2 linked regions of the Coturnix japonica genome follow. The protein of the gene in region 1 purifies or fractionates together with the protein of each later gene. This does not show direct contact. Links are inferred from orthologs where the notes say so. Each region holds a gene or a part of one and is shown in the gene's direction. Other genes may lie near its edges. The genes, in order: S100B and IQGAP1.

What was found.
Region 2: the proteins of S100B (region 1) and IQGAP1 purify together in Homo sapiens (co-immunoprecipitation; 3 studies listed by BioGRID and IntAct, with this or other methods). This does not show direct contact. The link is inferred for Coturnix japonica from reciprocal best matches to the Homo sapiens genes S100B and IQGAP1.

Annotation. Positions count from the first base shown.
Region 1 is NC_029522.1:2,450,380-2,454,781, reverse strand, and holds S100B (protein S100-B), read left to right. Parts: upstream 1-1,415; 5' UTR 1,416-1,840; intron 1,841-3,094; 5' UTR 3,095-3,109; coding exon 3,110-3,247; intron 3,248-3,480; coding exon 3,481-3,621; 3' UTR 3,622-4,373; downstream 4,374-4,402. UniProt on the Homo sapiens protein: Small zinc- and- and calcium-binding protein that is highly expressed in astrocytes and constitutes one of the most abundant soluble proteins in brain.
Region 2 is NC_029525.1:18,470,930-18,473,409, forward strand, and holds part of IQGAP1 (ras GTPase-activating-like protein IQGAP1), read left to right. Parts: intron 1-133; coding exon 134-256; intron 257-780; coding exon 781-889; intron 890-2,480. UniProt on the Homo sapiens protein: Plays a crucial role in regulating the dynamics and assembly of the actin cytoskeleton.

The DNA of each region.
Region 1 (4,402 bases):
TGCCAGCGCCCGGCGAGGGCTGCAGACCTTTGTGCGCAGTGCTGGGTGCGCCGTGTGTCTGCTGGGCATCCCCATGATGATGGCACCGTAAAGCCATCGGCGTGTTTATGAGGCAGCCGTGCCCGTCGGGTGTCAGGGTCCCGTATAAATACGGGGTGCCCGAGGCCGGCCCGGACAGCCCGTGTGCCGCGTGAGGACGCCGCCGGTCCCGCCGTGCTGTCCGTGCGGTCGGTTGTGCAGGTGCTGAGCGGCAGCGGCCGGCGGGGTGGGAGGCAGCAGGGCCGGCTCTTCGGTGGAGCCACGCGGCCCCGAGGCCGTGGGCCCGGCACGGGGCTCGGCTGTTCCTCGCCGCCCCGAGGGGCTGCGTGAGGCCGGGGTCGGGTTCTTTGCATCAGCGAGGGAAACCACGAGCCGGGGTGGTGCCGGGACTGCAGAGGGGAGGGCGGCTGCAGCTGGGACCCCCGGGAGGGTCGGGGTGGCCACGGGGACGTGTGTGGGACAGGCGGTGCCGTCCGTGCGGGGCCACACGTGGGCTGGAGCCCTGGGGCCACGGGGACGCCCGGCACGAGGGTCGCGCACGGCAGGCAGCGCTGACAGCGCGGTGCTTCCTTCCGTTGCAGCTCGGGGCCGTGAGAAGATGTCATCCCCACACCCAGGTGAGCGCCCGTGGGAAGGGCTCGGGCGGCCCTGGGGGTGCCCGCGCTGCCAGGCCGCTCCGTGCCCACGTCCCCTCCCGCTGCCCGCAAGCCCGGCCGCGCCCGGGTCCAGGAGCCTCCCACGGCGGCCGGGGCACTGCAGCTGCAGCAGAGCCGCGTGGCCGCCCCGCAGCCCTGACGCTCCCCTCTTCCTGCAGGGCCACACGGAGGGCCGCCGCCGCCACATCCCGGGCCTGGGCACCCACCTGCACCGCACGGCCCTCCCGGGCATCATCACCCGCCCGGCCATCATCCTCCCGGCCATCATCCGCCCGAGCATCACCCGCCCGAGCATCATCCTCCCGGCCATCACCCGCCCGGGCACCACCCGCCGGGCCCCCACCCCCACGGCCACCCCCACTAGGCGCTGAGCTCTGGCGGCAGCCGCCCCCGGCCCGGCTCCTTCTGCGTCCATCGGCCGCCCCATCGCCGCGCTGCCGCCGGGCTCTCCCTCCGGCCACGCGCGGCGGCAGCTGTGCCGGCAGCAGAAGCTCGGGCTCGGGTTGAGGTGCGCAATAAAAGTCCGCTCGGTGCCTCTGCGCTCGCTGTGTTTGGCGGACGGTCTCCGCGCCGCGTGCCGGCCCCACGTGCAGCAGATGAGCGCAGCGCAGGGCAGCGCCGCCGCTCGTCCGGGCGCGGGGAGACGGACGGAGCGACGGGGTTCGGGCTCCCGGCACACGGCCCGCCCCTCCGCGAGGCTCTGCGAGGGCACGGTCCGCCACGGGCGCCGTCGCCTCGGTTGTAGGCGCGGAACGGAGCGGCCGCGCAGCCCCTGCGCCGTGCGGAGCCCCCGGGCCGCGGGTGGGAGCGTCGCGCAGCTCCGCTGCTGCTCGTCGGCTCCGTGCGGGCAGAGCTGCGGCACGGCCACGCTCCGGCACCGCGCTGCTCAGTGCACGGGGTCTGCTTCCCCGCACTATTCACAACGGCCGCCTCCTGTAGCAGCCCCCACGGCCGCCGTGGGTCGGCTGGGCGCCGATGCGCGTCCGTGTGCCACTGCGCACAGCCCAGCCCGCTGTCGGGACGGCCCGGCCTCCCTTTGCCATTGGTCCCGGGCGCTGCGGCACGGGTGAAGCTCCACGCCCACGGGCATAAGAAGGCGGTCAGCCGCTGGGATGCAGCCGCAGCGTTGAGCATCGCCAAGGGAGGTGAGAAGGAATGGGGCTCTGGGTGGGGTGGGGGAGCAGCCGACGGGCGGGCTGGTTGGCTGGTTCGCCATGGTTCTCTGCCATTCCGGAGCTGAGATCTTTGCTCACCGCAGAGGCCGGTGCAGAGCTGAGTTAACCAATGGCAGACATTTACCCCTGCGGTATGTATTTAACGAGGACCGGACACCAAACCGTTGCGTTTTTTAAGCCCAGTGTAAATGCATTGAGCAGCTTCTGGGAAGGTGGATTTGCATCCCTCCCTGTCGGGTTATTTTTGTACGGATATCTGTGGAATCTGCAGGAATAGCTGAAATTATTGGTAGTCCTGCACCAGGTCAGATGTGCGAGGAAGGCAGGCAGAGGAGTTGCCCTTGTTTCTTTCTATTTGCAACTATCAAAATCGAATCCTCATGCCCTCCCGACTGTTCATTTGGAAGTGGGCCTGCAGGCAAGAAGGGCAGAGGTGTGGGCACCTGAAATAAAAGGGAAAGCAAAGCCTTTCTGAAATGCATCCCCCCACCCTTACCTGCTCCTGTCCCCAACTTGCCAAGGAAAGCAACGGGTTGACCAGTAGGAATAAAAGAGTTGGGTGAGGTGACAATATGCGTGATTAAACGGGTGCTCCATCAGCTGAGAATGTGGCACAAGGACACTGTCCAGTTCCTGCCGCACTTTGATAGTGGTTTGAGCCATCTGAAAGTGGGCTTCCTTCCCATGGGGAGCGCCAGGCAGCAGCACTGAGATGCAGCCCAGCCACGGTGAGACCTGGGGGAGGTCCAGCAGATCCAAGGCAGCTCTGAGCCAGAGCTGGAGCCCCATCCTGGGCACAGACCAGTGCTCTGTGCTTCCCGCAGCCCATTTCTGCTATGCAGGTTTCCCAAAGGGGACTGGCAACACAAGCTTAGCAAATGACCCTGTCCCAGCTGACAGCCAGCTCAGCACATATGGGAAACGCAAGAAGCCTCCAGGATTTTGCCACCCATCTCCTTCCAGTTTTCTCTCCCACGCTCTGCACACTCCTGTTGGTTCCAGGGAATGCACCTGTCCCACTGCCACCACTCCCTGTGTTGCAGCTCACCTGGAGCACTCAGAGCCAAGGCCCCTTAGAACCACAGATCCTGGGATCTTCTCTGAAGTGAGAGCCACTGGCAGAGCTTGCCTGTGCTGCTGTTGGGTGGGGGGTTGCAGCAGGGCTCTGATGCATCACTGCAGCCTAACCCTGCTGATGTGCCCGTCGCCTCCCTCTGATCTCAGGACTGTGCTGTGACCATGTCTGAGCTGGAGAAGGCCATGATTGCCATCATTGATGCTTTCCACCAGTACTCCGGGAAGGAAGGAGACAAGCATAAGCTGAAGAAATCGGAGCTGAAGGAGCTCATTAACAATGAATTAACTCATTTCCTTGGTGTGAGTATTGCCCTCTACATAGCACAGCTGGGCTCAGGCTCCAGCTCCCCAGGAGCAGGTGGTGGCAGGACAAAGCCTGTGTCAGGGCTGGAGGCTTGGGCTGGACACTAGGGAGATTTCATTCCCTGGGACGGTTTATCACCCTGTTTATCACCCTTACCCTGTGGGGCTCAAGGTGCCCTGGTAGGGCTGCTGTTAAGCAGATGCTACTACATCCATTTCTGCCCTTTCAGGAGATCAAAGACCAGGAGACCGTGGACAAAGTCATGGAGGCACTGGACAGTGATGGGGATGCAGAGTGTGACTTCCAGGAGTTCGTGGCCTTCATTGCCATGGTTACCTCTGCTTGCCATGAGTTCTTTGAGCACGAGTGAGCTGGTGAGAAGCAGCTGAGCAGCTCCCACTCACACTGGAGAGATGCAGAGCGGTACCACTCCTCTTGGGAGAAGACTGGATGCACCTGGGGGCTCCATGAAGTTAAGCTTGCGCTACTTAAGCAGCTTATTAAACTCTGCAGCTTTGTGAGCAGAAATGCCCATGCATCTTGGGAAAGCCTCTTAGACAGCGCCCACCTGGGATGGCATGTGTTCGAATGCCACATCTCAGGCTCACTCCCTGCTGCTGTGTGCAAGGGACAGGCAGCGGGCTGGAAGCAGGTGGCCGCTGCAATCCTTTAGGTTGCTGGCAAAGGGAAAAGGAAAATTCAAGGGGTGAGGCAGGGCGTGATGCAGAGAGGCTGGTTATAGAGGCCTGGCTCTGAGCCCATTGGCCTACACAGAAAGACTCTGTGATCTCTGTGGGCTCTGACTGCCCCACGCATGCTACTAACCCTGGAGCAGAGCCCATGCAGTCCTTGGCAACTTGAGAAACTCCTGGCTTGAAAGGCAAAGCATAACCATGTAACAGCCCAGGCTTTTCTCCTGCCTATGAATCCTCCTGCTTATAGCTGTCCGCAGAACTGGAAATGAAAGCATAGGAGGCTCCTGGGCTGGGCCTGAGGTGCACATTGGCAAGCTCTCAAGGCTCAGCCTGAAGGAAGGGTGAAATCCATATGTTATCAGCTGCAGCTCCAGAGTATGTGGAAACAATGAGAATAAAATGTTGGTCTTTGGGCCATAATGCGGTTCTGGTGAAAAATGAATCCTTTTGTCTCCG
Region 2 (2,480 bases), on another chromosome or scaffold:
AGAAATATATCGGTGTTGGTTGAGCTGTCTATTCTGGTTCTCGCCACTCCTTCACATAGTATGAATTGTTTACTATATTTTGTTTGCTCTCTGGTTTTTTTTGTTTTTTTTTTTTTTAATCCTTTCTTTTCAGAGTCTCTAAGAAGCCTCGAGAGATGAAAGGCAAAAATAGTAAAAAGATTTCTCTAAAATACACCGCAGCTCGACTTCATGAGAAGGGAGTGCTTTTAGAAATTGAGGACCTGCAAGTTAACCAGTAAGTTAAAATAGCTAAATTAGTTAAAAGCTAAATAGCTTTTCCAGAGAAAGAGGGAAATGTTGCATACTGTTTTGGACTATTTAGGCTGGCACAGCGCTGTGAAGCCTCACAAACTGATCATGTGCTGTTCTCCTATTTGTGGTTAAATGGGAGCAGATCTCTGGTAGATAAGTTTAATGGCATTTAAAGATGACACCCTCTTTCTCCCTGCACTCCTCCCACAACCCCTCTCATGGCAGGATTCCTCCTCAAGTGAATTGCTACTGAGATTACTAACTCTCAAGGCTAGCATAAGCTAGTTCAGCTGCATTTTGCTGGTGTAGAACATTAGGCTACGTTGTTGTGGACTATGTTTTGTTATTCATTTTTCTACTGAATCTCATTCCAAATGAGGATATAGGATTAGAATTTAGGAATAAAATTAGAAGTTTATCTTTAGCTTTCATCTGGTGTGTGCTTTCCCTGTGTCATTAGGAACTGCATGTTCATGAACTGTGTTTTTTAATTTATTAAATTCACAGATTTAAAAATGTAATATTTGAAATCAGTCCAACAGAAGAAGTAGGAGATTTTGAGGTGAAAGCAAAATTCATGGGGGTACAGATGGAAACCTTTATGTTACATTATCAGGTAAGAACAATCCTGTTTAATAAGGACAGCATCCATCATGTGAGTTTCATGGGATGTGTATGAACAACAAATCTCTCTTCTGCTTGCCAGACTCTTTATCAGAATACTAATTATGTGTTTTCTGCCTGAACAGTGTGAAAATGGGGGAGCATCTTTAAACTAAAAGAGAGCAGATTTAGGTTAAATATAAGGAGGAAAATCTTTTCCTAGGCCAGGCTGAACAGGGTCCTGGGCAGCTGGAGCTGGTGGGGGTGGGACTGCCAGGTGTTGGAGTCCCTTCCAACATCCGCCCATACTATGATTCTTTGAGAAGCTATCTTGACAGCAGCAGATTTGTTGCAAACAAAACAGATGCAGTGCCAAGGGGGGAACTGAGGCTAATTTGTTTCTTTACTGATGAAAGCCTTAAGTAAGTCTGTGTCTTAGTGACACTTACATAAGTATGCATACACATGCGTGTGCTTTCGGCAACACTTTGCTATAGCAGAGGTCAGTAGTCTGTGGTATATGTCAGCTGGGCTTGGGTGTGATGACTTCAGCTACTTGTCACTGGTTTTCTTTCTGCGACACTGCACCTAGTTGTTTCTTTAGCTGTCTAGTTCTTGTGACTCCTCAGCCTTTACTTACATGAGTCTATCGTAACAGGCTTACAGGCAGGTTTTATCTAATGGTCCCCATTCTTCTTCCAACACCACTACTGTTATATCTGGCATCTCTGTCCACATACGAGTGTCTGCCAAAACTTGCCTCCCAGGTATTGTTAGATGTGGTAATTGTGGATGTCCTATGGGTACTGGAACAAACTGCATACAGAAGCACTCTGCACAGAGATACTTCTGTGTTGCAGTCCCCGACTGACTACTGGGAGGGATAGCTGCCTTACACATCCCGTACATCTGCTCTGGGAACTCCTGTAGTTCATTCCAGTGCTGATGTGTTGGAGCTGGCCACAGACTTCTTGGTTCATCTGGCTATTTGAGGTTGCTTGGTTCTCAAGCATGTGTGGTAAAACCATTATTAACAAACTGCCACAGCTCATCCAAGTACAGTGTTAGCAATGAGTTCTGTTAAAAAGTCTTGCATTGCCAGAATTTTTATGGAAAACAGTAAAAAAAGCTTTTTGATGTTCGTTCTGGTGTCAGGAGCAAGATTCAGATTTTGGAATGCATGCAGTGTTCATCGCAGTAGTACTACCCGAGTGCTTTCTTTGAGATGCGCTGTTCTAGAGAGGAGATTGTGTAAATGAATTAATTGCTGAGATGAGCAGTGCAGGGAGTCTTATGGCTTTGTCAGGTGCATCATCACAGAATCACAGAATGACCCAGGTTGGAAGGGACCTCAAGGATCATGAAGCTCCAACCCCCCTGCCTGTCAGGGCCACCAAACATCCACGTTTACTAGGTCAGGTTGCCCAGGGCCCCATCCAACCTGTCCATGAACACCTCCAGGGACAGGGCATCTACAACCTGGGCAGACTGTTCCAGGACCTCACCACTCTCCTGATTCTCATTGATGAGAAGGAAGTGTAACTAGACTAGTGCCTATGTAAATACAGGGGAAACTGAATTGGCATCATGTAATTAGTACTAAT